Stegostoma tigrinum: one gene and its partners. The main gene of each other region encodes a partner of the protein of the gene in region 4 in a complex. Links are inferred from orthologs where the notes say so. Each region holds a gene or a part of one and is shown on either strand. Other genes may lie near its edges. The genes, in order: morf4l1, mbtd1, enhancer of polycomb homolog 1-like and histone acetyltransferase KAT5.

The links.
Region 1: histone acetyltransferase KAT5 (region 4) and morf4l1 share a complex: the UniProt entries of both Homo sapiens proteins name them as parts of the nuA4 histone acetyltransferase complex. The link is inferred for Stegostoma tigrinum from reciprocal best matches to the Homo sapiens genes KAT5 and MORF4L1.
Region 2: histone acetyltransferase KAT5 (region 4) and mbtd1 share a complex: the UniProt entries of both Homo sapiens proteins name them as parts of the nuA4 histone acetyltransferase complex. The link is inferred for Stegostoma tigrinum from reciprocal best matches to the Homo sapiens genes KAT5 and MBTD1.
Region 3: histone acetyltransferase KAT5 (region 4) and enhancer of polycomb homolog 1-like share a complex: the UniProt entries of both Homo sapiens proteins name them as parts of the nuA4 histone acetyltransferase complex. The link is inferred for Stegostoma tigrinum from reciprocal best matches to the Homo sapiens genes KAT5 and EPC1.

The regions. Positions count from the first base shown.
Region 1 is NC_081386.1:32,983,398-32,990,567, forward strand, and holds the start of morf4l1 (mortality factor 4-like protein 1), read right to left. Parts: upstream 3,259-7,170; 5' UTR 3,116-3,258; coding exon 3,076-3,115; intron 1-3,075. UniProt on the Homo sapiens protein: Component of the NuA4 histone acetyltransferase (HAT) complex which is involved in transcriptional activation of select genes principally by acetylation of nucleosomal histones H4 and H2A.
Region 2 is NC_081375.1:6,125,921-6,133,892, forward strand, and holds the start of mbtd1 (MBT domain-containing protein 1), read right to left. Parts: upstream 3,177-7,972; 5' UTR 3,091-3,176; coding exon of another isoform or gene 2,794-3,090; exon of another isoform or gene 2,608-2,793; intron 1,515-2,607; 5' UTR 1,210-1,514; coding exon 1,185-1,209; intron 1-1,184. Other genes in the region: C-Jun-amino-terminal kinase-interacting protein 4, read left to right, coding at 2,794-3,090. UniProt on the Homo sapiens protein: Chromatin reader component of the NuA4 histone acetyltransferase complex, a multiprotein complex involved in transcriptional activation of select genes principally by acetylation of nucleosomal histones H4 and H2A.
Region 3 is NC_081355.1:128,371,888-128,380,193, forward strand, and holds the start of enhancer of polycomb homolog 1-like, read right to left. Parts: upstream 3,112-8,306; 5' UTR 3,038-3,111; coding exon 2,885-3,037; intron 1-2,884. UniProt on the Homo sapiens protein: Component of the NuA4 histone acetyltransferase (HAT) complex, a multiprotein complex involved in transcriptional activation of select genes principally by acetylation of nucleosomal histones H4 and H2A.
Region 4 is NC_081395.1:3,923,083-3,930,548, reverse strand, and holds the start of histone acetyltransferase KAT5, read right to left. Parts: upstream 3,147-7,466; 5' UTR 2,931-3,146; coding exon 2,864-2,930; intron 1-2,863. UniProt on the Homo sapiens protein: Catalytic subunit of the NuA4 histone acetyltransferase complex, a multiprotein complex involved in transcriptional activation of select genes principally by acetylation of nucleosomal histones H2A and H4.

The DNA of each region.
Region 1 (7,170 bases), on a different chromosome or scaffold from region 4:
TTCAGACGTTTCGTCACCATGTTAAAAGATGCCTCAAGACCATAAGCAATGTTAATGCCACCTGGGCAATTAGAGATGGGCAATAATCACTTACCTTTCTAGTCATGTTCACATCCCAAAAAACTTCTAAAAAGATTCCCACCATTCAATAAAATCTGGCTGTGGTCTCAGGTCCACCTACCTGCTTGCTCCCAAAAGCCTTTAATTCACTTGTCTATTGAAAAATCTAACTCAGCATTAAATCAATTTAAAGAATCAGCCCTCTGACACCTTCTGAGAAAGAGAATTTCACAGACTAACAAAAGTCAGTTTTTTTTTCTCTTTCTCCCCATTGCTGTCTTAAAACGCAGACATCTTACTGTTAAAACGAGTCCCCTAGTTTTAGTCTCCGCAACAAGAGGGGATATCCTCTTGCTATCCAATCTATGCAGTCCACTCATATGTATTTCAATAAGATCACCTCATTCTTCTAAACTCTAATTAATAAAAGCATAATCTGTTCAACCTTTCTTTATAAAATAAGCCTTTCACCCCAGGAATGAGTCAAGTGAACCTTTTCTGAACCACTTCTGAAGCAAGTATATGTTTTCTCAAAATCAGGCAGAGTACTCCACATATGGCTTCATCTGCTATACTAGCACACCCTTCTGCAATTCATCTACCATTCAAACCCCCAAATCCTTCTGCACCACTGAGACCGACAAGTTCTGTTCATTGAAGTAGTTTTTGTCTTTCTTGTCTTCTTGTCCATTACAACTCCCTTTGAGAATTAAAACTGAATCCAATCTTTACACTCTCTCAGGTAGTTCATTCCAATTCCTTAGCACACATGAAAGAGATATATTTATGTCATCTTAGATTCTTTTTGCTACTCACCTTATATTGGTGCCCTCTGATTTTTTTCTGCCAATGTGAACAGTTTCTCTCTCCTGAAATGGGGAGGTAATGGCCTAATGGTATTATCACTGGACAGTTAACTGCGAGACCCAGATAATGTTCTGGGTACATGCTCCAATCCCGCCATGACAGATGGTGGAATTTGAATTCAATTTTTTAAAAATCTGAAATTAAGAGTCTAATGGGGACCATGAATCCATTGTCGATTGTTGGAAAATTTTTACTAATGTCCTTTAGGGAAGGAAACTGCCATCCTTACCGGATCTGGTCTACATGTGACTCCAGACCCACAGCAATGTGGCTGAGTCTCAACCACCCTTTGGGCAATAAATGCTGCCTAGCCAGTGACACCCTCATCCCATGAATGAATAAAGAAAAAACAACTCGATTTTGAGCACCTCTATCAAATCTCCACCTAATTTTTTATTCTACAAGAATAGTCCTATCTTCCACACTATCAATACAGGTGAAATCTTTCATCCTTGGAACCATCCACATGAATTATTTCTACACCCTCATTAATGCCATCCCATCCTTTGCAGAGTTTGACACTGAGCCAAATAACAGACAAACTGAAACTAAATCAGTATTGCATAAAAAATAATCATAACTTGTTTTTATACACTACATATTCATTTTTACAATGTCCAGCATCCCAATTATGTTTAAAACCACTTTGTCAACATGCTCTGCCAACTTCTGGTCCCGCACTCATTTAGGAAAACATGGTAGCCAATGACAATAGTAACCACACTTCAAAAGCAAAGCAATGGCTGTTAAGCCAGTGAGGAATCTACATCAATATAACTGGCCCATTTCAACCTCTCATTTTCTTGTCCCATTTTTCTTCACGGCAACTCCTTCCCTCAATAAAAATTCCTATGCATGCAGTTCTAACAACTTCTCATAAACCAATCACAATGTTACCCTTCTGGAGTGGTAGTTCTATTATACTTCAGTTTTCCCTCTGCCTTTATGTACTTGACTCGCGTACAATCCAAACTACTACACATTTAGTTGTAAACAGCTAAAACCAAATAATGTTAAGATGTGATTAAAAAAGATGAACCTGATGCATCAGCCCTACCTACCTCTCTCCACAGATGCTGAATGATTCCAGCATATTCTGTTTTACCTAGACAGCAAATTCACCAGCACCTGAAAAAAAAGAAATACAGGCTGTTTCAGATGGAGACTCCGTGTCAGAACAGTTCTGACAAAGAGTCTACACCCAAAATATGAAGCTATCTTTGCAGCTGCTAATGAGCTTGCTACGTAATTCCAAAGTTTACCTTTTTTTCAATCTTATGTCTGTATTTGCCAATGCAGACACAAGTGGTGTAAAGTAGAAACACAATCCAGACTTGTATATTGCCTTACAACCACTTCCCATCTGGCAGTCATACAACACAAGAGTATAATTTTATGTCTTCTTGCTTATATTTTAATCAGGTCACGAGTAAGGTAGGACAGTTTCACTAAATACGTAGAAGTCCTCGAATTCCAGATTTCCTTCCAGGGAGAAACCATGGTCGAAGCAAAGATAGAAAGGTGCAAAGTCTCTTTTGCCACAAGAAGAAATAGACGGTTTCAGCAAATAAAGCAACGTTAAGCACGTTTAGCCAGACTAACTTACATACCTCCTCCTCACGGATGTGGAAAAGGGCACGGCCAATGAAGCAATTCCTTTGACAACCCCTTGGAAAGTGCATTGCAATAAATGGTTCGTTGCATTCTGCACATAGAGCAAGTCGTTGCAAAGTTGTCAGCACAAATGTAAACTTGCTCCATTGAAACCAAAGACAAAAATGGCACAAATCTGACTTTCGCTGAAAACGTTGGGGGGGTGCGGTGGTGTAGGTGGGAATAAGGAGAGGAAGAGGATTACGGGGAAACAACACACATACATGCAAATTGGCGGAGGAAACATTCTGCGCGATTATACTCTGCACAAATAAGTGTACAAAGGGTAAGGAACGAGTACAATGTGCTTACATCTAGCAGTCTAACCAGCTGCAAAATCTCCATTGAGGCGCCTGCAAAGCCCCTCGTACCAAGGGAGGCTGCCCTCCAAGCATGCGCACTGAGGAGTGGGTGGGGGAAGGGAAGGAGCCGGGCCCCGGCGCCATTTTTCCCCTCCGCCTCCTCCCAATCGCCGTATCCCCGCGGGGGGCTCACCTTCCTGAAATTTGGGTCTAGGGTCCGGTTTCGGAGCCATCAAGTCAAACCGTCTCTCCGTGCTAAATCCGAGCGCCTGTGCTGCCCCTCTGTCCCCGCACCATAATCGCGGCCCGGTCTGCTCTCGCACGGGCGCCGAGCAACACGACGTACCGGGTTGGAGGGGGGCGGGTCGTCATCGGGGCGACGTGACCCGTCGTCGAAACACGTCACGCCCCGGCCAAGGTGCTCTCATTGCGCACGCGCGGCTGTCCGGTGGGGCTCTGGGAGTTGTAGTTTGAAATTGGCATACAGGGAGCGTGCTAGAGGAAGTTTAAGACGTGAATTGGTGTTCTTGTTTGTATTTCCGACCTTCAGACCTCACAGCTCTTTGTTTTATTATACTGGGTTAACTCAGCAGGTTTGACAGCATCTGTGAAAAGAGAAAAAGAGTCAAAGTTTTGAGTCGAGGGAGTTGAGTTGAAGGGTGCTTCTGCATTTCTGACAGCAAGTTCACCAGGACAAAACAAAACAGAAAAACAGCAATCAAGTTTCTCCAGCAATTACTGCTCTGTATGTTTCTGTACTCTGTCACTGTTCTGGGTGAGAGTAGAAGTGTGGGACATTGGGTTCAACACAGCTTGCGGCCTTGTCAACTAAATTGTGGGGTGTGGAATTCCTCTGTTGAGGAAAAAGGAAGGCACTTCAGAGCCTGCACCCCCAGAAGTTGGAACAGAGTGACAGAGTTGCAGAATCTAAGAATGGAATAGACTCTTTAGAAGAAGCAGGGCATGAGGAGGTTAGTCAAGTAACTGTGGGTGTGATGGATATTGGTGGTCAATCTACCCCTGAAATAGAAATGAAAATGCCAAGGAAGAGGAGACTCAGATGGACCAAGTGAACAAGAGAAGCCTCTTCACTATACACCACACACATGGCTATGCAATACCAGAAGGTGTAACATTTACCTTTTCATCATCTCAGTCCCCCAGATCCCAAACTCATCATCCTGGAGATGCAAAGATTTAGCGATACATTTTTCAATCTCCTCTATTCACAATACAGTTTCCTTCACATCAGAAAAACTAAACGCAAACTGGGTGATTGTTTTGTGGTGTACCTTACACTATGTGTAGGAATGACCCTTGATCTGCAAGTTGCTTGCCATTTCAATTTACGTTCTTGCTCTCTTGTGCACATTTCTATCCTAGGCCTGCTGCAGTGTCCCAGAGAAGCAAGTTGCAGGAGCAACATCTTATTTTCTGTTGAGACGTTTTACAGATTTCAGGACTCAATGCTGAGTTCAGTGGAGTTCAGAACATGAACACTGTCAGAGAGTAGTACAGCACGAAACCAAAATCTGGATATCCTAAAATCCAGTACCATTTGGCCCATATCCCTCTAAACCCTTCCTATTCATGTACCCATCTGGATGCCTTTTAAAAGTTGCAATTGTACCAGCTTCCACCCTCTGCATGTAAAAGTTATCCCTTAGGTCCCTTTTAAATCTTTCCTGTCTCACCTTAAGCCCTTACCCGCTAGTTTTGACTTCTTACCCTGGAAAAAAGACCCTGGCTATCACCCTATCTATGTCCCTCATGACTTTATAAAGCTTTTTCATGTAATGAAACATCCCAGATGCTTTGCAGAGACTATGCAAAACACAAAGTGACACCAAGTTGCATAAGGAGATAGTAGGTCAGTGCAGTTAAGAGGGTAAACATGAGTGCCTCAAAGGAGACAAGCAAGACAGAGAGGTGACAGGAGAGGTTTACAATTCTTGGGGCCTAAGCAATTGAATGCACTTAAGCAGTGGTAATTATAATTGGAAATGTGTAAGATGGCAGTTTCAGAGGAATTCAAGTATTTTGAAGTGTTGGAAGGGCAATGGGAAGGTTTTATAAACAGGGATGAAAGTTTTAAAACCAAGACATTTCTTGATGAGGGGACAATGTAAATTACAGGGAATGGGATGAACTGCAGGTGAGGATCTGAAGCAGTGTGTTACATGTCCTTAAGTTTACAAATTACAGTGTTGAAGACCTGCAAAATGTGCATTGGAATAGTCAAGTTTAGAGGTTTCAAAATTCAGGTTTTCAGTGATTAAGTCAGATTACAGCATCATGACTGCAGATGCTGCAAACCTGGAGGCCATTTAGCCCATTGTGTGTACATTAGCTCCCTGGAGAAACTATTCCCAAATAATATCACTTGTTTCATCTTTAAACATAGCCCTGTAAATACTTTGATCTATTTCTCCGATTCTCTTTTGGATCTATGACATGGACTTAAGCATGTCAAGAAGGCAGCACACTACCATCATCTCGCGAGCAATTAGTAATGGACAATAAATGCCAGCCACCCAGTGATTCACACATCCCATGAAAGAATAAATAAAAATCTTATCCCACAAGCCTTTCATTTCAATGCATTTCAAATTGCAACTGTGTAACACAAAATGTTGCTTATTGTCATCTAGTCAATCACCTTACTGCTGCTGTTCTCTGGTTCCTGATACTTCTCCCAAAGGAAAAGTAAAAGCAAAGGAAAAATGGCTACAATTGTAGAGGACTGTAGGGTTATTGTCTTATTAGAGTTGAATGGTGGTGGTTTAATCTGAGGGTCACCACACCACAGGCAAGGAGCGAGGTTGAGAAGGCAGGATTTTCATGTTAATCTCAGCTGTGCAGGAATTGAACCCATTCTGTTCATATTTGAATTGCAAACAATCATCCAAATGTACTACTTTATTCACTCCTGTCAAATTCTTCATGACTTTGAACATTTCCATGAAATCTCTCTTACTCTATTATGCTCTAAGGTGCTTTTCCATATCTGATCTTAAGATAATAGATGAAATGAACATCAGCCAGGAGTTACATTTCCTGGCTGATAATAGTGACCTCCTGCTGGGAAAGTGTAGCTTTGTGCACATCCCGTGAAGGAAGTGTTGGAGTTTGCTTTAATGCCATAGGCAGGGAAATAATCTGCAGGCAGTCCTGGCTCAATCTTGAAAAATGAACATAACACATGAACATATTGAATTAACAGACGGGAAAAATACTTCTAGCCAATGAAGCTGATTCAAAATTGTGTGACTGGAGGTGTTACGTCCGCTTGAATTACCCTTCTTTAATATCTTACAAGAAAGACAGCATCTTTAAAAATGCAGCACTTCTTCAAGTTTATAATGCAGTGTCAGGCTAGAAACAGATGCTCAATCATGTGTGAAATCTGAGCTGAGAACAACTCTGAGTGTAGCTTCCAACCAGAATATTTTAAGTATTGGTTAAAAAAAACACATTGCATTGAAGCTTTTCATCATTCACTCATCAGCATATTTATAAGACTGTCAACATGCAGGTGAACAACAATTCTATACTATGTCAGATAAAGCATGCTGATTGGCTAGCAAGTGGATGCCAATTGATTGAAGTGTTACCATCGAGAATGCACAAGTTCAATGATGACTGACAATCAGTGTTGAGCTTTGTATGAATTTAAAACTGGTATGTTGAATCTGATTAGTCAAGATAGTGCCTTGAAGATTGCATCTGAGAGTAACAGTCATCTGTTTTGTTGCATTGAAACAAGTGCCCTTTGTGTTTTCCTGTCTGCAAAGAAAAGGTGTATTAATAGATGTAACCTTCTTAATGCAGAGATCTGCCACACTGTAAGGCCAACTGACAATCTTGTCACTGCAAGGCAAAAAAAACAGACCTCCCTTCCCCCTCCCCATTTCTGAAGAAGGGTCCCAACCTGAAATGTTAGCTTTCCTGCTCCAGCTCCAACCTATGTTATCCTTAACATTTGTAAATGGTGGCTCAGTGGTTAGCACTGCTGCCTAACAGGACCTGGGTTCATTTCCTGCCATGGGTGACTGTCTGTGTGGGGTTTGCGCATTCTTCCTGTGTCTGCATGGGTTTCCTCCAGGTACTCTGGTTGCCTCCCACTGTCCAAATATGTGCAGCCTAGGTGGATTGGCCATGCTAAATTGTCTGTGATGTTCAGGGGTATGTAGATTAGGAGGGTGGGATGCTGTCAGGGTCAGTGTTGACTTGTTGGGCTTAAGGGCCTGTTTCCACACTGTAGGGATCCTATGATTAACAAAGTGTG
Region 2 (7,972 bases), on a different chromosome or scaffold from region 4:
AAAAATTCCAGTAAATTTGTCAGGTATGATTTCCCCTTTTTGAGGCCATGCTGATCCTGCTTTGATCTTATTATATATTTCTAAATGCTTTGCTATTACATCCTTTACAACAGATTCTAACATTTTTTCAAGGTCAGATATAAAGGTAACTGGCAGACAGCTTTTTTTGGTCTTCTTCCCATTTTTAATAAAAGGTGCTACATTAAAAGTTTTCTAATTCTCTGGGACTTGCCCAGAATCGAAGGATTCCTGGAAGATGGTTACAAGTGCATCTACTATCTCTATACATGCATCCTTTAATTTCCACAACGTATCCTATCGTGTCAAGGAACTTATTATTCTTTAGCCCCATTAATTACCTTAGCCATTTGATAACTTTGTACTTTTGTAATGTTGTTATTGTCTTGTATTGTGAGTGCTGATGCAAAGTACTTCTCAACTTTGTCTTTTCCCGGTTCCCCGTTGTTATTTCACCAGCTTTAGTCTTTAATGGGCCTGTGTTCCCTTCTGCTTCTCTCTTTATTTTTATTTACTTAAAGAAGTTTTGATATTACTTGCAAGTTAACCCTCCAAGTTTATGTTTTTTCTCTATTATCTTCGGTTGACTTTTGTTGATTTTCTAAAACATTCCCAATCCTCTAGATTACCACCAATCTTTGCCATGTTATACATTTTTCTCCTTTTAATTTGATATAATCCCGAACTTCTTTTTCTTTACGTACCATGGGTACCTCTGTCAAATCTCTCCTTTGCTCCAAGGAGAACAAGTTCTGTTTCTCCAAACTCATTTTGCAGCTAAACTCTCTCTCTCTGACTGAACCATTCTGGTAAATCTCCTGTGCGCCCTTTCAAGGATTGTCAAGTCCTTCCTGAAGCATGATGGCCAGAACTTATTGCCTAACCAGGCAAAAATAAATATTCACCATAATATCAGTGATTTTAAACTCAATATCACAATCTTTGAAGGCATGATGTTTTAAAATCTACTCTCTCAATACGTCCTTTCAAGTCAAAGATATATACATATGAATCTCCAAGTTTCCATGTCCATTTGCAGTGTTTAGAATTATGTAATGTAATTTACATTGATTTAACATTAAAACATATGTTCAACCCACATATCTGTACACACAGGAAATGTGAAATAAAAAACAGAAAATACTTGAAATACTCAGTGAGCCTACCAGCATATGGGTGATGAACTTTCATTATAACCACTTCCAGTATTTTATGCTAAAACACCACTCGCTTTTACTTGACATAGTTCCATAGGATCTCTTCCGTTAACCAGAGGCCTCATTTTTATGTCCTTCAAAGCATGGCATTTCCGATGGCGCAAAATTGGAATATCTGTTTTGGCTTTTGTATTCAAGTCCTCGAAGAAGCTTTCAAGCCATAACTGTCATTCAGAGAAAAGAACGCTGCCATCTAAGCTATAAGCAAAAGAAATATGGACAGCAGTTTTTGAGGAACAAAAACAGAAGTTGCTGGAAGCTCAGCAGGTCTAGCAGCTCCTGCAAAGAAAAAAAAATCAAAGTTAACGTTTCACTCCAGTGACACTTCTACAAGACAGACCTGCTGAGCTTCCAGCAACTTCTGTTTTTGTATCAGAGATAATGGGAACTGCAGATGCTGGAGAATCCAAGATAATAAAGTGTGAAACTGAATAAACACAGCAGGCCAAGCAGCATCTAAGGAGCACAAAAGCTGACGTTGCGGGCCTAGACCCTTCATCAGAGAGGGGGATGGGGGGAGGGAACTGGAATAAATAGGGAGAGGGGGGAGGTGGACCGAAGATGAAGAGAAAAGAAGATAGGTGGAGAGGAGAGTATAGGTGGGGAGGGGATAGGTCTGACCAGGGAACACGGACAGGTCAAGGAGGTGGGATGAGGTTAGTAGGCAGGAAATGGAGTTCCTGATTTAAAGTATCTGCAGTTCTTGTTTTTGTGTGATTTTGGAGGAGCTCATGTTTATGAAAGCATCATTTTTGACTTGTTAATAGCTCCATTGTACTGTATTACATGATTGGTAGAAGATAAACTAGACAAAAGCATGTTTTTTCACTAGCAATTCTGACGTTCGTAACAATTTTATTCAAGGAGATATCTTGTCTGTGACCCTGAAACCTTGCGTCCAAAGTATTTAAAAAAAATAAAAGACCTAACCATTCATAGATGTCAACTATCATCACAAAATCCCTGTAATGGGACAAAGTGCTGCATGGAGGAAGACAGAGTTACCCGTTTTCGCCCGAGAGCAGAGATAACAAAGCGTAGAGCTGGGTGAACACAGCAGGCCAAGCAGTGTCAGAGGAGCAGGAAAGCTGACATTTCGGGCCTCAGGGTCTAGACCCAAAACATCAGCCTTCCTACTCCCCTGATGCCGCTGCGCCTGCTGAGCTCACCCAGCAGCATCCGCAGCTCCCACTATCTATAGCCCGGCAAGAGCATGTGACGGGATCACATGACTTGTGGAAGCTCGCGACGTTCCGTGCCTGATCGGGGCGGCCCGGCGTGCGGGGGCGCGCAGCCTGGACGGGGCGGGACCGCGCCCCTCGAACGGGAACGCGCACAGTGGGGGCTGGGCAGCGCGCTGAGGGGGCGGGGTTGGAGCCAGTGGCCTCGAGCCGAGCGGCGTCGTCAACAGGGAGGGAGCGGGAGACGGCTGAGCGGCGGAGAGAAGAAAGCAGCAGGAGCTGAAGAGAAATATAGGTGGTTATTCCCTTAACTTCCTCCGGCGTAAATCATTGATTTGTCTATATGTTTTCCCCAGCATATTGATAATTTAAAGAAAATGGAAATGGATGATGGGGTGGTTTACCAGGATGACTCCAACACTAATGTTATGTCGGAGCGGGTGTCAGGCCTGGCGGCTAGTATTTACCGGGAGTTCGAGAGGATGATCCGCAAGTACGACGAAGATGTGGTGAAGGACCTGATGCCGCTGGTGGTCGGTGTGCTGGAGAACCTGGACGCGATGTTCGCCGAGAACCAGGAGCACGAGGTGGAGCTGGAGCTATTGCGGGAGGATAACGAGCAGCTCATCACCCAGTATGAGCGGGAGAAAGCCCTGCGGAAGCACGCCGAGGAGGTGAGTGAGTGTCCCGGGCCAGGGTGAGGGCGCCACCGCTTTTCATTCTCCATCGGGATGGCTCCCGCTGAGATCTCTCACCCGAACCTCCGCTTCCCCCAGTCCTCATTGGACCAATGCTTCAGACTAATGCCCACCTCCTCTACCGCCTGCACCCTGATTGGTCGGTGGCCCTGTCACTCAGCACGCTAGCAGGTTTGATTGCATACGATGACAACCCAACGGGCCCTAGTTTTCAAAACAAGCCCAACTTGTGTGTGTTATATATTTTTTAAATAAAGTGTGGGTATTTATTGATGACTGTTGTGTCGACGCTTCGGTAATATATTTCCCTTGCAGTATCTTCTGGCGTGTGTTGGCACAGTGTTCCCCTGTACGTCATCTGCATGAATAAGCGCAACATTGATGTGGGTTGAAGACAAAAATCTTAGTGAATTCTTCCTTAATGGACCAGAATAACCAAGAAAATTTAAAGTAACCTTTATAACACTGTTTACCAGAAACCGGTTAAGATCTTAACATGCGAACTCTGCTTTTTGTAAAAATCTGAGTTAAGATGTTAGGAACCTAATGGCCTGCATGTTGTTTTGTTCCAGAGAAAAAAGATATTGGGACTTTTTCCTAAAAGGGTTATGTTTTCTGAAAAAGTCATTGCTCGCTTCTTTGAGTATAAGAGTTGGGAAATCATGTTGAGGTTGTACAGGACATTGGTCAGGCCTCTTCTGGAGCAGTGTGTCCAGTTCTGGTCGCCCAGTTATAGGAAGGATATTATCAAGCGGAGACGGTCAGAAGAGATTTGCCAGGTGTTGCTGGGTGTGGAAGTTGGGTTGTAAAGAAAGGCAGGATAGGCTGGGACATCCTTCACTGGAATGTAGAAGGTTGACTGGCAATCTGACTGAAGTAATGAGAGGTATAGATAGAGTTAATGGTAGTTGTTTTTCCCCTAGGATGGGCATTTTCAAGGAGGAGGTGGGCTTTAGTCTGAAGCATTGGTCCAATGAGGACTGGGGGAAGCGGAGGTTCGGTTGAGAGATCTCAGCGGGAGCCATCCCGATGGAGAATGAAAAGCGGCGGCGCCTTCACCCTGGCCCGGGGGCACATTTTTAAGTTGAGAGGAGAGAGATTGAAAAAAATGAGGTAGATGTTTTTAGACAAAGGGTGGCTCCTGTGTGGAATGAACCTCCTGAGGAAGTGGCGGATGTGGGTACAATCACAACATTTAAAAGACATTTGGATAAGTACGTGAGTAGGAAAGGTGTGGAGGGATATGGGCCAGGAGCAGGCAGGTGGGCCTTGTTTAGTTTGGGGTTATGTTCGCCTGGACTGGTTGGAGCGAAGGATCTGTTTCTGTGCTGTACGTCTCTATATGTGGAAACAAAACGAGCAAGGTGCACATGTTCTTCTATGTACTGCATTCTGTGAGGAATAAATCATCTTGGAGTTGCCATTGAGAAAACTTTGCAGAATTTGAGAGTGTAGCATTTTCCTCTGTGAATAGAATTATGTAATTTAAACCATGTTGACAATTGGTGTAGATTCACAGCCATTTGTGTTTGTTGGATTTTCATGGAGTATCTGCCAAGTATTTGTAGTTTAAAACATCAGATTGATAATATTCAAATCTTCCAGTGATGTGTGGTTAGCTTACCATACTGAGTGAGCCAGGTATAGTGGATGAAGAGATAATGGGAACTGCAGATGCTGGAGAATCCAAGATAACAAGGTGTGAAGCTGGATGAACACAGCAGGCCAAGCAGCATCTCAGGAGCACAAAAGCTGACGTTTTGAGCCTAGACCTTTCATCAGAGAGAAAGAGTGTCAGAAGAGGGTGTGATGAAGGGTCTAGGCCCGAAACGTCAGCTTTTGTGCTCCTAAGATGCTGCTTGGCGTGTGTGTTCATCCAGTTCCACACTTTGTCACAGTGGATGAAGACTTGGGTTTCATTATGACACCAAATCGCATGTTGGCCTGCCTTGCTACTGAACTGGCAATTGCGTTGGTTTTGACCATCTTCTTTAGTTCCATCCGCTCATCTCTCATGTTACCATTCTCTGTCACTCACCCAGTAACGTAAACACAGGATTATTTACATGCCAAACAGTGAGTTATCCCATAATGAACAAATCTGATCTAAGCTTTGCAGTCTGACCACATCCAATGATGAATAACAAAACAACTCACTATAAGGTGAGACAATGGCCTAATGGTGTTATTGCTGAACTGTTAATCCAGAGACCCAGCTAACATCCTGGGGACCTAGGTTCAAATCCTGCCGTGGCAGATTGTGGAATTTGAATTCAATTTAAAAAATTGGAATTAATAGCGCGGTAATAACCATGAAATCATTGTGAATTATCGAGAAAACCCTTTTGATTTAGTAATGTACTTTAGGGAAGGAAGCTCCCTACATGTGACTCCAGCTCTACAGCAATGTGGTTGACTCTCAACCTCAATTAGTGATGGGCAATAAATGCAGGCCTAGCCAGCAATGCCCTCTTCCCGTCAATGAATACCAAAAAAAGGAGAAGCTCTGAATGACTTCATCTTTAATAATGGAGGAGTCCAGCACGTCAGCACAAATGAAAAGACTGAAGCATTTGCACCCTGTTCAGTCAGAAGATCCACCTCTACCTTCTCCTGATGTCCCCAACATTGCTGATGCTGGTCTTCAACCAATTTGATAGACTTTACGATATCAAGAAATAGCTGATGATGCTGGATTCTGGAAAGGCTGTGGACTGTGTTAACATTCTCAAAAAGTACTGAAGATGAGCTCCAGAACTAACCACGTCATTAGGCAAGCTTGTTCGGCACATTTAGAACAGTGACAAATACATGTCAATGTGGAAAATTGTACAACCATATCGTGTCCACAAAAAGCAAGACAAATCAACCAGGCCATTTATCAATCCATCAGTTTATTTTGTATCAACAGAATAATGGAAGGTGTTATCGACAGTGCTATTGAGTCAGGCGTGTAATGAAATACTGTCCACTTGGTAGGATGGGTGAAACTCCGAAAAACACTCAGGAAGGTTAACACCATTCAGGACAAAGCAGTTTTTTGATTGGCATGTCAATTCTCACACCTTCTACATTCACTCTGTATTCACCACTGCAGAGAAACTGCAGCAGTGTGTACCATCTTCCAGATGCACTGCAGTAACTTGCCAAGGCTCCTTGGATAACACCTTCAAATCTCCAAACCAGAATGACGGTGGCAGCAGGTATGCGGGAACACCATCATTTGCAAGATCCCCTCCATGCCACACATCATCCAGACTTCAAAATACATTGTTGTTTCTTCACTGTAACAGGGTTAAAATCTGGGAATTCACCCTGTAACAACACAGTGGGTGTTCCAAATAAGTATTTCACAAAGACAACTCACTACCACTTTCTTGAGGGCAGTTAGGAGTTGGTAATAAATCTTGGCTTATCCAACATGTCCTGCAAATGAGTTTTTTATAAGTCCAAAAATAATATTTGCACTACAGCAGTGACCAAATTTACAGTTACTGAACACATACAGTGCATCCTATATATCATCTCAAACTGTAATTCTGATGTACAGATGTATTGAATTTTGAATTCCTTGCTATAGAAGGCTGCACAACTGTTTGCTCGATTGCACCCTCGGATGAAATGTGGAGAAATGGAGTAGAATGGGACCTGTGCTCACCATAGTTAAGAAGAATGAGAGGTGATCTTGTTGAGTCCAAAATTTTCTTGAATTTATGTTTAATTCTTAATTCTAGGGGTTTGTCTAAGAAGAAGACTGGGTAGCTGCGAGGAGGTTCTGTAATTGAGGAGTCTGGAGATTTTGAATTACATAAGCGAAAGGCTATCAGAACTGACCCATGGCCTTTAACAACACAATTTCTCTCAGATATGAAAACAGAAAATACTGGAAATAATTAGCATACCAAGTGGTGTCTTCTCTTTTTCCCGGGTCTCCCTTGTTTCAACAACTAGTTTAGGTTGTTCAGGTATCTTGGCTGTGCTTTCAGTTGGAGATAGTAAGAACTACGGATGCTGGAGTCAGGGATAATAGAAAAAGGGTCCTGATCCAAAACGTCAACTTGCCTGCTCCTCTGATGCTGCCTGGCATGCTGTTTTCCTCCAGCTCCACACTGTGTTATCTGTGTTTTGAGTTGAATGTGCAACACGTCCTGGAATTCCCTCCCCAAATCATCCATTACTATGCTGTCTGCCCATCTTAAATTCTGACTGTTTTCACACTAGCTTTTGGTTACTGTACTTAATAGAACAGAGAACATAGATGTTGCGTCGACCTGTGAACTAATCTAAGCCCCTCCCCCTACACTGTCCCATCATCATCATCCATATGCTTATCCAAGGATGATAATATTTTGCCTTTGTTCGGTTTTTGAACTGCCTTTGGATGTTGTTCTATGCTCTGCCTTGTATAAATATGATCATATAAATAAGAATTGCCTACTCAGTCCCTTGAGCATTTTCAGCAATTGATGAAGATCTTGGCTGATCTGATGACTCCACGTGGCATCAAACTGTAGGATGACTTTTCCGCCTCATGCTTGGCAATAATCTATTGACATCTGCCTTAAAGGCATTCAAAGACTTTTTATTGCCACCCTTTGAGGAAAAGAATTCCAAAAACTCTTCAACCTCTCTTTCTTTTCATCCCTTTGCTCAATAGTTTACTGCTTATTTTTAAACAGTAACGCCTAGTACGAAGCTCTAGTATGAGAGTAAATAAACTTGCCACATCCATTCTGTCAGGACCCCTCGCAGGGTCTTGTATATTTCAAACAACTTGTCTCTTCTCAGCTTCAATGGATCAAAGCTTAGCCTGTCCAACCTTTCCTCATAAAACAACGTGCTGATTCCAGTGGTAAGA
Region 3 (8,306 bases), on a different chromosome or scaffold from region 4:
TGAAGCAAAGTCTACTCACTACAGAACATTAAAAATAAGGAACCACATTATTTATAGATAACGACATGTGAAGCTGGATGAACACAGCAGGCCAAGCAGCATCTCAGGAGCACAAAAGCTCTGATCACATTATTTATACCTAATTAGACAAACATGAGAACCATATTTCAAAGTGATAGCCCCAGCTCCAATGGACACACACACACACAGAGCACCCTCTGGATGAAAAAGATGAGCCTTAGGTCTCTTTTATACCTTTATAACTATGCCCTCTAGTTTTGAGTTTCTCTACCCTGGCAAAAAAAAACCTTGGCTATTCATCCCATCCCACATCTCTGACTCTATAACTGGTACCACAAACTGTCACTGCAAAAATGAGAGTGGAGAAGCTCTGCTGACACTGGTGCAGAACTATCTGCCCTCTTCAGTATAATAACCTTACATGTGCCTCAAGGATTCTGGACTCCAGAAAGCCAATTAAGCTATTTGGGGATATTAGTTGAGGGTTAAACATTTGCCACAATGCAGGGAGAGAGATCTTCCCACCCCATCCTGCAACACTTACGTCAAAGAATTCTTTACATTCAGCCCAGAATTCACGTGGAAGTCTGATTTTAGGTTTCATGTGAAAAATGTGGCACATCCACCTAAAACAGGGTTGGTGTTTAATATCGCACTGACAGGTAATAAATCACAATAAAAATTCTCATGTGGAATTTCACTCAAGCGTATCAACTTCGTCAAAGAGTGGTACAACAAGTGCATATCAAAAGATCTAAAATAAAAGAAGCATTTGCCCTTGCTTACAAATATTTATTGCCCAAATCAAAAATCACTGGAACAGCAGTGTTATTGTTGCACCTTGTATGACATTGTTGCTCGAGTTTCCCCACATTTGAAAAGTAGTGCATAGCAAAGGTTTTCAACTGCTGGAACAGAAAACACCAGTGCAATGTAAATTAATTCCGTTTACTTATTTTGAGCATCTGATTCACAAAGCCAAGCACAAATAGGCATAAGAATCTTTTTGGAAAACTAAAATCCTAACCTTAAGATACATAGATAATAGGAACTGCAGACGCTGCAGAATCTGAGATAACAAAGTGTGGAGCTGGATGAACACAGCAGGCCAAGCAGTATCCCAGGAGCACAAAAGCTGACGTTTCGGGCCTAGACACTTCATCAGGGGAAAAAAAAACCTTTTTTTCTGTTACAGACTACAAACACAAGGAAGTAGAACCAGATATCCACAAATGAAGACCAGTACTGTAGTTTGCCAATGAGTTGAAATGAATTCCTTTGAGGTATTCTGTCTGCAACCCCATATTTTAGTTACTGATGTACATCCAGTAGACTGTCATCTTAAGTAATAGCTTGAATGCATTTTGTTTAATTGTGTCAGTAAGCTCATTCAAACTGTGGGAAGTGCAATATTGTATTTCCCAGGTGTTGAAAATATTTTGAGCCCCCAATTAACTATGCACTGATGTTAACAGCAACTTCAGAATTTCATGCAAGAACATTTATTTGGTAATAACAGATTTGGCTAATGGTACATTGCTATCAAATCAGCAAGGTTAGGTGACAGTAATTAAAGAATTCACTGCTCCTCTATTTAGATTAGATTAATGCCAAGTTCCAGCAATATCATATTTCTGACTTTAACAGAATCCTATTCACATAATAAGCCATCCTGACTTTAATCCAGCTCCTTGCCTGACAAGTTCAGTATACTTCATAATACAAACCATAACTATGGTACTGAATCTGAAACTATGACTATTTTTCACCTTGACAGCCTCACAACTGCAACTATCTGTGTAACATCTTGCTTTACAGATCACGATGTGGGAGATTTTCCAAAAGCCTCAAAAACACGATGACATTCAACCGCTAGAATTCTTATAAGTTACACTTCACATTATTGCTTCACAATAAACTAATTTTGCATGTCACCCATGAAACTAACTGTGGATACGACGGATGTGGAATAAAACAGTCGGAAAAACAACTATAAGTCTCACGGTCTCTGCACAAACTTAGCTGTAGTAGTAATCTGCATTATAAAGGAGGAGTCTTCCCGCTGTCCATACTCGGGAACTGCACAACAGGTCACAACTGGCGCACGTGCTGAGATTAAAAACAGTGATACTTTCACAATGATCTCTGTTCAGCGAGATGTTGTGAAGCACCATTTTGCAAGTCAACTTACACACGGAACATATAAAACAAGAGAGCAAATAAAAACAACGCCCATATATACGGGAGCTAGAACTGAGTGAAATACAAATTTGTCTACAATACAATAATCCACAACTCCCAACACCCCAGGCAAAAAAAATTCAGGCTCTCTAGCGCCACCCTCCTACTGGAGTTGGTTGTTGCCGAGATCGTGCCCAACCCAGAGAGAAACACAACAAAATGGCTGCCTCGCCAGTCACGTGATCTTTTGTACACCGAGGGGGTAAAAATAATATCTTTCGTAGACAAGGAACAATATCCTTCTCGCCCACCCGCTCAGCGGGGTGAAAAATCAACGGGATAGGACCTTCGATTGTTTCAAAATAACAAAAAGAAACAAGGAGGGCGGCCTCCCTCCCGAGCGGAGGAATAAAGTGTGGGTGGTTCCGGGGCCCGTCTCTCCGTTTCCGCGGCCCGGCCCCATGTTTGGGAGGAAGCGAGCGAGAGCCGTGTAATGGCGGCCGCGCAACCTGCGCACACAGGCAACACCTCCCGCCACCAACTACCAGCCCACCACTAACACCCCCCCTCCCCCGAGGCCACAAAACACGTCCGAATAAAATGATTTTTAAAACTCCTTTCGTCAAAAAAAGACGGGCATGTTTTTTAAAAAAACAACCAAACCCGCCCCGTGTGCACCTACCGATTCCTCCTCCTTCTCCATCCCCGTGGGCATCTGGGGCACCGCTCGGTTGATGGAGGCATATTCGTGCAGATCCGGCAAATCCTCGCACCGATACACGGGCAGAGGTTTCGATGCATCGAGCGCCCTTGCCCGAAACGACAGTTTGCTCATTATTCTCGGCTCTCCCTCGGTTTGTATGTGCGTGTTCGCGGCGGATTAGAAACCCAAACACCACCGCGGGAGAGAGAGAGAGAGAAAGAGGGGAGGGGAAGGAGAGAGGGAGGGAGGGAGGTTGTAGTTGGAAGGAAAATATAAATATATATATATATAAAATGCGTTTTTTTTAGTCGCCGATGAAATGTTGACGCCTACACCCAGTAAAACCTACACGGAGCCTCCCGAAACCTATCATGGATGAAAGATTGGAGATCCTAGTTCCATTCCGTGAAGAAAAAACGGGGGTTGGAAACGGAAGAAAGGCGGTTTTTCCCCCGGTCCGTTTAGGTTCCTTTTGTCGACTTCAATACGCCATGGCCAACATGGCGGTCATTAAAGTCCAGCCATCCCACAATGCACAGCAACAGGGACGAGGCTCGGCCGAGCTGCGCGCGCAACGGCCCACAACCCCCCCCCCCCACTTCAACCGGCCGGCGGTCGGTTAGTGCGGGAGGAGAATGTTGCTGCTCCGCTGGGCACCCGGCACTAACGGCTGCCTTGGATTTCTACCGGGTTGTTTTTCTCCCCCCCCGCCTAGCAGCGAGTCAAGCAGCCCACCCCCTCCCTTTTGCAGGATATGCTGTATAAAACCTCATCTCCCATTCTCCTCCCACCCTTTTGAAAATGTTTTCGAATTCTCCTCCCCCGCTCCCACCCGGTTAATATTTGTGTTTTCGGCTCCACGGAAAACAAAACTTCGCTTTCAGTCCGAGCCTGCGTTTCTTGGCTCCTCTTTTTGAAAGAAATGCACAAGTCGTTATCACAACGATTGACTATTGTCTTTTCGTTTCCCTTCCAAGTTTTTTTTCCATCGTTTCTGTTCGCTTCCTAATTCAACTACGCCACAACATGGATACCCTCAGTCACAACAACTTTACAAGAAGCTGTTGGAAACGGCGCCCTCTACAACACGAAGTGCCAGCGTTTGGTTTTTTTTAAATGGTCTGCTGGGAAAAGGGGAATGTCACATGTCTCATAATAATAACTACAGTTCAAAACTCAATGGGCAGGTTGTAATCTGTCACAGGGTATTGCGCAATTCGGCGTAAACAATTGCAAAGCTTCCTGCTAGTCTTGATTGTTTGTACTGCACAGAGACAGTAAGGCTACTTGTCGAATCAAAAAGATGTTCAAGGCAAATCTGGCAATGTATATGACACCGTGAATCAAATCAAACAATTCAATGCCCATAAAACGGGATTTCGGTTTTTGAATTCATCCGAGCACGAAGTTTGACCATTTTTAAACTTAATTATTATTCTGAAACAGTATGTCACCATGCACAATTAGGCAAATTGACGTTTCAACAAAAATCTAAATGCCACTCGGTGATTTACTATTGTTTATGACATTTAAAGGCAGAGGTAGGTAGATTCTTGTTAAGCAAAAGGGGTGAAAGGTTAGTGGATAGATTGTAGATTGAATGGTAAAGCAGGTTCAAGGGGCTGAAGGGCCTGCACCTAGTTTGGTTGTAATGATTCCACACCAATTCAACGTTTCCAAAACAAAAAAACCAAACATTAACTCATGTTGTGAAGTACAGAATTTAACTACATTTTTGTTACAACACCAAATCAAACTTTTATATTTAAAGTCATTAAAAGACATCAATAAATTGTGATTTGCTGGTGAAAAATTATAAACTTCAAAGTGTGGTACATCAGACATGCAGACAGCTGAATCTTCAGTTTTAATTTAACCTACATACAACTAATGAAATTTCCCACGTCTGTTCTGGAAATCAGTAATGAACGTCAATAGAGTTTTATCAGATTGAATTGATACACAAGTATACTGAATATTTAATTTCCATTTGTTCCAATTTTTCATTTACAAGCTAATCTTATTTTGCAGTTTGTTATCTAGTAACTCTCAATAGGTTGTACTATTTTTGCAATGAGCTTATGCTGCCAATGTGCTTTATATATAAATATAGAAAACAGCGTTTTACTGACATTCAAATGATTGAATCACTTGACGGATTACATTGTTTAATGCACCAGCAGTTTACAGTCAGCGACAAATTGATGGAAGGGATCATCAATAGCACTATCTAGCAGCACTTATGTTCCAATAATCTACTCGCCAATAAGAATTTGGGCCCTGCCAGGAATTGAATTCCAGATTTAGTTAGTCTTTGTCAAACACAGAACAAGAGCTGAATTTCAGATGAGAGATGAGTGTGACTGGCCTTTATATGCAGGCAGGACTTGACCAACATGACACCAGGGCCTTAACAAAAAACTGCAGTCAGTCAACAGGAATCAGGGACAAAACTATCCAATAATTGGAGTTACATTTGCAGAAAGGAAGATGATTGTAGTTCTGGAAATCAACCATCTCAGTCCCAGCACATCACTACAGAATCACAACTGTTACTGTGCAGAAAGAGAGCATTCAGCCTGTTGTGCCAGTGTCTGATTTCTTAATGAGAAACTCAGCCATTTCCCTGTAATCTCACATTTTCTTTTTGGAATATAATCCAAATCACTCTTTAAAGCCTTAATTGAAGTTTGTCTCAATCTCTGTCTCCACCACAATCTCAGTCAGCATTTTCCAGATATTAAATCACTCAATACAGAAACAAAATCCTTTCATCACCAATGTACATTTCTAGTTACCAGAAAGCTGTGCCCTCTCTTTTGTTACACAATGGCAAGTGTTCCCTTCATCAGTTGTGTCCAGTCTCCGTATTTGAAAATCTCTATCCATCTACCTCTTAACATTCAAGAAAAGCCATACAACTGTCTGCAATAAACTTTAGTTCCTCATGCTTGGAACCATTTTGCAAATGTTTTTTGTAGCTATACCAACATCTTCACATCATTCTTAAAGAATTGGTCACAATACTCCAGTTGAGGCCAAACCAATGTGTTATAGAAGTTTAACATAGTTTTACTTTTGTGCTCCATGGTCCTGTAAATAAAGCCTAGGATACTGTTGTTTATTAAGAGTTCTCAAAACGGTCGTGCCACCTTCAATGACTTGTGCATATCTCTTAGGTCCTATAGGTAATTTGGAACTGTATCCTTTATTTTGTTCTGTCTCTATGCTCTTCCTGCCAAAATGAATTAGACTTGACTTCACTGCATTAAATTTCATCTGCCAACTTTCTGGCCATTGCAACAACCTATTTTTGTACTTTTGAAGTTCAATTTTATTCTCTTCAATGTTCATAATACTTCCAAACAACATTAATGATCAGAATGAAGGAATGGAGGGCATTATGTCATCTGCAAGCTTAGCAATAAAGATAGGTGTAGGGTTAGGCCACATTGAGGAAGCAGGAAGGCTGCAGAAGGACTTGGATAAGCTAGCAGTGGACAAAGAAGTGGTAGATGAAATATAATGTGAGAAAGTGTGAGGTCTTGTACTTTGGTAAGAAGAAGAGGCATAAACTATTTCTCTTAATTTTAACACGCAAGTTCAGGTGGCAGTTAGGAAGCCAAATGCAAAGTTAGCATTTATTTATTTCAAGAGGGCTTGAAAACAAAGCAAACAGGAATAAACTGCTAAGGCTCAACCACATTTGGAATATTGAGGGCAGTTATGGGCTCTGTGTCTTAAGGAAGGATTTGCTGGCCTTGGAGAGGGTCCAAAGGAGGTTCACAAGCATGATCCTGGGGAATGGAGGGCTAATCTCAAGAGGAACAGTTGAGGACTCTAGGTCTGTACTCTGGGGGTTTAGTAGGCTGTGGCGGAGGTGGGGGGGGGGGAGAGGAGATGTCAATGAAACTGAAAAGAATATTAAGAGACCTAGATAGAATGGTCGTAGAGAGGGTGTTTCTAGAATCACAAAATCGCCACACACCAATCCCCTGTTCAGCATCCCAACCAGACCCATCCCCCTCTACTAGGGCCCAAGGGCATAGCATCATAGACAAGACAACCCTTTAGAATGTAATGAGGAGGAGTTTCTCAGCCAAAGGATGATAAATCTGTGGAATTCATAACAGCTTTCAGTGGCAGGGGCCAAGTCACTGTGTGCATTTAAGACAGAGATAGAGAGATTTTTGATTAGTAAGTAGATTGAGGGGAGAGGGAGGAGAATGGAATTGAGAAACATATCAGCTACGATAAAATGGCAAAGGCAACCCAAATGGACCATATGGCTGAATTGTCCTCCTATATCTTTATGGTCTGATACACACACCTTGAGAATTCTGCCATAAATCTTCCTGCAGTCAGAAAAACATCCACTGAACACTATCTCCCATCACTCAGCCATTTTCAGAACCATGTATTTTTGTCCCTTTTATTCCAAGTGCTGAAACTTTGTTCATAAAAATTTGTTGTGTGGCACTGTGTTAAATGACTGCACACCCACTTGTGCCACATCAACAGCATTATCCTCATTGACCAGCTCAATTAACTCTTCAAAAGACAAACGTAAGTATTAGTTAAGCAAAGCTATCCTTTAACAAACTATGCTGGAATTTTTTAATTAATCCAGATTTCCCAAGAGACTTTTGTCTTGAATTATTGTTTCAGAAGCTTTGCCATCAGCGTTGTTATAGGACTCGCATATCGTTGCTAAACTCATCTTTACATTTAAAAGAAATGTTGCAATTCTCCAGTTCTCTGATAATCACCTGAGTCAAAGAAAGATCGTAAAATTATAGTCAATGCCTCCAATTTCTATTCTCACCATCTCTGGTGTCCTTGGATCTCTCTTATTCAGTCCTGAAGCCTAACCAACTGTAAATAAAAAGACTGACTCCACTGCCTCCTGTTCATCGATTTCAAACTAAGTATTTGAATTATCTCCTTTCACCACGACCTGGACAGTATTTCTTCTTTTGGTAAAGACTGACATTAAATTTCCAGGCATAAATCCCCTTTTTGGGCTCTGATTGGTCCCATCCTGGTTCTACCAACCACCCTTTCACTATTAATATTTGTATACCTACAGAAGATTTCAGAATTTATTTCCATCAACTTGCAGTCTCTCCATACAATCAAGATCTCCTCAGGGCAGAAGAGATTATGAGAGAGTTTCAGTGGGAGAGAGATCTGTAGACACGACCATCTTCAGCTGCATCAACGGCTTTCCTACCATGAGGTTAATAAGTGGGTAGGATCATTGATGATTGCAGTGTTCAGTTCTGCGTCAGATACTCATCAGTTCAGGCTGACTGGTGCCAAGTAACTAACATTCATGGTTCACAAATACCAGGCTATGGACACATTGAAAAAAAAAGAAAAATTTAACCATCTCCCCTCA
Region 4 (7,466 bases):
AGGACAGGTAAGAAGGCCGATGGAACACTTGCTTTCATCAGTCGTGGCATAGAGTACAAGAGCAGGGAGGTAATGTTGAAGTTGTACAGGGTGTTGGTTAGGCCACAGCTGGAGTACTGTGTGCAGTCCTGGTCACCTCACTACAGGAAGGACGTGATAGCACTAGAGGGGGTAGAGGAGGTTCACCAGCATATAGCCTGGGGTGGAGAAACTGAGCGGTGAGGAGAGACTGGGTAGGTTTGGATTGTTTTCTCTAGAGCAGAGAAGACTGAGGGGGTGACAAGAATGAGATGTACACAACTATGTATGAACAGGGCGAGTAGAGAGCAGCTGCTACCTTTCGTTGCAGGGTCTATCTCGAGATGTCATAGTTTTACGGTAAGAGGCAGGAGATTCTGAGGGGATTTGAGGAAAACCTTTTCACTCAGGGGGTGCTGGGAATCTCGAATGCACTTCCTGGGAGGTATTAGAGACCGGAAACATTACAACCTTTAAAAACATTTGGATGTGCACTATAAATATAGATACATTCAAGGATCTGGGACGAGGGCAGGAAACTGGGATTAGTGCATCTAGTATCAGAGATAATGGGAACTGCAGATGCTGGAGATTCCAAGATAATAAAATGTGAGGCTGGATGAACACAGCAGGCCAAGCAGCATCTCAGGAGCACAAAAACTGACGTTTCGGGCCTAGACCCTTCATCAGAGAGGGGGATGGGGGGAGGGAACTGGAATAAATAGGGAGAGAGGGGGAGGCGGACCGAAGATGGAGAGTAAAGAAGATAGGTGGAGAGGGTGTAGGTGGGGAGGTAGGGAGAGGATAGGTCAGTCCAGGGAAGACGGACAGGTCAAGGAGGTGGTCTTCCCTGGACTGACCTGTCGCCTCCCTACCTCCCCACCTACACCCTCTCCACCTATCTTCTTTATTCTCCATCTTCGGTCCGCCTCCCCCTCTCTCCCTATTTATTCCAGTTCCCTCCCCCCATCCCCCTCTCTGATGAAGGGTCTAGGCCCGAAACGTCAGCTTTTGTGCTCCTGAGATGCTGCTTGGCCTGCTGTGTTCATCCAGCCTCACATTTTATTATCTTAGTGCATCTAGTGTTGGGATGAGGAACTATCCAGCAGAACCAGTTGGAGAGCCCCCGCAAGTGGCAAGAGGTATCACACTCTGGGAGATGTGGGACTGTGTGTCCTGCCAGGAGGAGATACTGTACTCTGGTGGATCCAGCGGGATCACACTCTCTGGAGAGGAGGAGGTACCTTACCACCGTAGTTCCACTGGGTGTGCCCTTGTGGATGGGACGGGTTACTGCACTATATCTGTTCCATTGAGGGCACTCCTCAAGACCAGGAGGATTTACTGTGCCCAGGGAGATTCAGTGGGACCACTCCTTATGACCAGAAAGAAGATCCACTGGGAGCGTCACTCATGGCCTGGAGAAGGCACTGCACTTCACAAGATCCAATGGGTGCCCACCAAACTCCACCGTGTCCTGGAGCAGATATCACACTCAGAGTTTCCAATAACAGCCTGTGCTCTGAGTCCTGCAGAAGGAGCTGCACTTTGCAAGATCCAAATGGCAATTTCCACCCCCCCCGCCCCATACCACATCCTGGAGGAGGTACCACACTCAGAGAGTTACAATGGGAGCAACCCCCCCATGGCCACGAGGAGGTATTGCTCCTTATATGAATTGCTGTGGGACTGCACTCCACAAGGGGAGCAACCGACTTCCCCTCACCCCTAACCCCACCCAATACAGCCAGAAGAGGGACTGCACTCAGAGGTCCAATGGGACCACCCCTTTGGCCTGTAGGAGGTACTAATGCCACAGGATCCAGTGGTATCACACCCCTCCTCCACGGCCTGATGCAGGTACTAGACTCAGGGCGATTCAGTGGCACTGCATCCCTTGCCCTGTGGCCAGGATGAGGCAGTGCATGTGGGGAGTTCCAATGGGAACCACCACCGTGGCTAAACGGAGAGATTGCTTCTCGAGATCTGCAGCGGGGGCACCCTCCAAAACTTTAAGGAGGTACTGCATTCAGGGATTTCCAGTGGGAACCACCCGCCATGGCCAGGTGGTGATATTACTCCTTTGGAGTTGCAGTGGGAGTGCTCCCTATGGTGTGGAGGAGGTACTGCACTCAGAGATTTCCAATGAGAGTGCAACCACCACCCCTGTCCCTATCGTGTGGAGCAGGTAGTACACACTTAGGGATTTCCAGAGGGAGCATACACCCCATCTGCCCCATGATGCTGAGGAGATACAGCTCTCAGGGATTTCCATTGGGAGCACCCCCATAACCTGGAGGAGGTACTCCACTCACAGACTTCCACCGGAGTGCACGCCCCTCATGGCCTGGAAGAGGTACTGCACACAGGGTTCTCCAGTGGGAGCGCTACCCACGTGACCTGGAGGAGGTACTGCACACAAGGTCCTCCAGTGGGAGCGCGCCCCACGTGGCCTGGAGGAGGTATTGCACACAGGGTCCTTCAGTGGGAGCGCTACCCACGTGGCCTGGAGGAGGTATTGCACACAGGGTCCTTCAGTGGGAGCGCTACCCACGTGACCTGGAGGAGGTACTGCACACAGCGTCCATCAGTGGGAGCGCGCCCCACGTGGCCTGGAGGAGGTACTGCACACAGGGTCCTCCAGTGGAAGCGCCCCACGTGGCCTGGAGGAGGTACTGCACACAGGGTCCTTCAGTGGGAGCGCGCCCCACGTGGCCTGGAGGAGGTACTGCACACAGGGTCCTCCAGTGGGAGCGCCCCCACACGGCATGGAGGACGAAATGCAAACAGCCCCGTCCGAGGGATGGTACACCGCGCCCGCCCGTCCGCCATGTCGGCTACTCACGCCACTCGTCCTCATTCTCCTGGTTCCTCCGGAGGACGGGAAGGCGGCATCCTTCGATCACCTCCATTGTTAGTCCGGGCGGTGAGTGTGACTGAGACAGAGGGTGAGACTCGGGTGGAAAATGCCGGTGCGGACGTTGATCACGCTCGGTCTTTCCCGCTCCCCGATGTCTCTTAGCCACGGGACGGCGGTGGAGTTTGTTTATTTCTTTCGATAAAAGTGTTTTTTCACCGACTCCGCTCCGCCGCAGCCGCCATCTTGTCCCCTCGGGGTCCTTCACGTCGCCGAGGAGGCCGCCGCACCGCCTGCCATCCCCCCGCAAAAACACGGCGAAATAATTCAATAAAGAGTGTGCCCAGAGATCCCAGCCCCCAGGAGAAGATGCTCTCACCCGCCAGAGGGGTAGGGGGGTTAATCTGATCATTTAAACTCACCAACATTTAGCACCCATTTCACCAGATAGGGTGTATAGGTGGCTATCTTAGTGCCTGTTTCCAGCACCAAAACACCAAAAACTCAATTGTCAACTTCGAAATTATTAACCTTATTGTCATTCTTAATAACTTCCTCAATTATCATCCTCACTATTATTATTAACTTTCTTTATAAAAACTGCTCAATTATCACCATTATTAAGACCACCTCAATGACCCTCACCATTACTATCATTAATATTACTATCATTAATAACATTCTTGACTTCTACCATCAACATTATAATAATTAATAACTACCTCAATTATCACCCTCCCTATTATCTTTAATAACTGCCTCACTTATCCTCACCATTATTCTCAACTTTATTAATAAATTCGTAAATTATCACCATTATTATTGACATTATTATCATTATTCTCATTAGCAGGCTTCTGAATTATCACCCTCACCGTTATTATCATTAATAACTACCTGAATTATCAATCTCAACATTAGTATAATTTTAAAAATCACCTCAATTATCACTCTTACTGTTATTATCAATAATAACCTTCTCAATTATCATACTCACCATTATTATCATTAATAACCTTTTCTATTCACACTCTCACTGTTATTATCATTAATAACCACATCAATTATGACTCTCACTGTTATTATCATTAACGACCACCTCAATTATCACCCTGACCGTTATTAGAAATTAATAACCATCACAATTGTCAACCTGACGGTTATTATTATTAAATTCTTCCCAATTATCACCCACACCATTATCATCAATAACCACCAATTACCACCCTCTATTATTATCATTAATAACCTCAATTAACACCCTCACTTATTATCACTAATAACCTCAATTAACACCCTCACCATTGATAATCTCAATTAACACCCTCACTGTTATTATCATTGATAAGCTTAATTAACACCCTCACAATTATTATCACTGATAACCTCAATTAACACCCTCACTGTTATTATCATTGATAATCTCAATTAACACCCTCACAATTATTATCACTAATAACCTCAATTAACACCCTTACTATTATTATCACTAATAACCTCAATTAATGCCCTCACAATTATTATCACTAATAACCTCAATTAACACCCTCAGTGTTATTATCACTAATAACCTCAATTAACACCCTCACAATTATTATCACTGATAAGCTCAATTATCACCCTCACCATTATTATCATTGATAATCTCAATTAACATCCTCACCATTATGATCACTAATAACCTCAATTAATACCCTCACCATTATGATCACTAATAACCTCAATTAACACCCTCACCATTATTATCACTAATAACTTCAATTAACACCCTTGTCATTATTAATAACATTATTAGTATCATTATTAAGAATCCCCTCTATTTGAGGGGAGCTGACTAATGCTGGACTGTTTAACCCAGAGATGTATGTAACTATTTGGGGACCAGGTTTGTATCCTGCCACGGCAAATATTGGAATTAGGATTCGATAAAAATCTGGAATTAAGAGTCTAATGATGACCATGAATCCATTGTTGATTGTTGGGAAAACCCCATCTGGTTCACTCATGCCCTTTAGGGAAGGAAACTGCCACCCTTACCTGGCCTGGCCTACATGTGACTCCAGACCCACAGCGATGTTGTTGATTCATAACCGGCCTCTGGGTAATAAATGCTGGCCCAGCCAGTGACATCCTCATCCCATGAAAAATAGAAAGAAATGATCACCCTCATCATTATTAACACTACTATGATGTTCATAACCTCCTCAATTAATACCATTGTTATTAACATTATCTTTGTTAATAATCTTAATTATCACCTTTGTTATTAACATTAGTTTCATTCTGAACAACTTCCTGAATTATCACCCTTACCATTATCACCATGCTGACTATTATCAGCCCTTTTAAAATTCCCCTTCACTCACACAAGTATTGAACGGATTGAGAATAAAAACAGTTCTGTATCCCCACTCTGAAATCACCAACCTGGATGAGCTGATCCTACAGTGCTTTTCCTTTCTTCAGTAATGTCTGACTATTATTATCCTCTTCACCCAAAGGTTTGTGAATCTGTGGAACTCCCCACCCAGCAATGCAGTTGAGGCTATCCTGTTGAATGTTTTTAAGGTAGTGATTTTTGAACAGGATAGGGAATAACAGGATAACAGAATTAACAGGAGAGTTATGGTGAGACAGTGGGTAAGTGGGAGATCAGCCATGATCTTATTGAATGGTGGAGCGGGCTCAATGGGCCAGATGGCTCGCTCTTGCACCAATTTCTTATGTCATAGAGTCATAGAGTAATACAGCATGGAAACAGGCCCAAACTGGTCCATACTGACCGTGGTGCCTGCTGAGCTAGTTCCAATTGCCTGCATTTGGTCCATGTCCCCTTCCCATCCATGTACCTATCCAAAGGGTTTTAAAATGTTGCTGTTGTTCCTGCCTCACCCACTTTCCCTGGCAGCCCATTCCATTTACACACCACCCTCTGTGTGAAGAAGTTGCCCCTCAGATCCTTCTTAAACCTGTGCCTTCTAGTTATCAATTCCCCATCCCTGGGAAAAAGGCTATATGCATTCATCTTATCTATGCCCCTTGTGATTTTACACTCCCTAATAAGGTTACCCCTCATTCTCTTATGTTCCAAGGATTGAAGTCCTATCCTGGCCAACCTCTCCCTATAACTCAGGCCTACTAGTCCTGGCAACATCCTCACAAATCTTCTTTGCACACCTTCCAGTTTAACGATATCTTTCCTATAACAGGGTGACCAAACCTATACACAATAATAGAGCAAGTGTGGCCTCACCAACAACTTACACAACTGTAACATAACATCCAAACTCCGATACTCAGTGCCTTGACAGACCAAAGCCGGCATGCAAAATGCCTTCTTCATCACCCTGTCTATCTGTGACGCCGCTTTCAATCAACTATGTACTCGTACTCCTGGATCCCTCTGTTCTACAATGCTCCTCATAACCTTATTGTTTACTGTACAAGTCCTAACTTGGTTTGACTTTCCAAAATGCAACACCTCACACTTACCTGTATTGAACTGCATGTGCCAATCCTCGGCCCACTTCTCCACCTGATCAAGATCCCTGTCTAATTTTTGGTAACCTTCCTCACTATCGGCGATACCGCCTAATTTTGTATCATCCACAAGCTCACTAACCATGCCTTGTACATTCACATCCAGATGATATACGTAAATAACAGTGGTCCCAGCACCAACCCCTGTGGCACACCACTAGTCACAGGCCCCAAATTCGAGAAACAACCTTCAACCGTTGCCCTTTGCTTCCTACCATCGAACCAAATTTGAATCCAGTTTGGTAGCTCTCGCTGGATCCCATGCGACCTAATCTCCATGACTAGCCTGCCATGAGGGACCTTGTCAAAGCCCTTCCTAAAGCCTTATGTAATAGCCCAGCTCTCTGGAAAAGAGAATGCGGAGGCAGGTGAGGTCTCTGACCGAGTCTTCAAAATGAAGAAGGAGGTTTTGATACAGTCTGATTGTGAAAAGAGGTTTTCCTATTGTTTGGGGGTTGGAGGGGTGGGAGTTGGGGTGGGGGGGGGTGGGGTCGCTGGGGCAGCAGAGGAGAGAGCAGAGAACCAGGGCCCATCAATGTCAGTCAGTCCCGAATAAACTCAGCGGAGAATTCGGGAGAACCATCATGTGGCCCCCAGATAGTGGGTAGAATATGGGAGTCACTCCCACAGGATGGGGGGTCAAGGGGAATGAGGGGAGATGTTGAATAATGTCTTAGATCACAGAGTGCATTCAGGTGCAGTTTTTTGTCTGATTCGGTTAAAGGTATTGAAGAGAAGGCTCGACAATGGCAATTCTCTTAAATGTAAACATTTACTGAGTGAGAAGAAAAGAAAGGTGCGTTTATTAAGTAAATAAAAAAGTGAAAGTAAGTAAATGAAAAAGAGAGGGAAAAAAACCCAGTAAGCCTCACGCCCTTCTGCTCATCAGGGTCCCCTCGATTGACAGCTAGCCTGGAGGCCAAGATTGTTCCTGTGCCCATTTTGCGATCCTGGTCCAGGGTGAAGTCCAGCGACTCAGCATGAAACTCTCTCTCTTGTGCAGTGTACAAACGGCAAAGCACAGAAACACAATGCCAGAAAAACCCCTAGA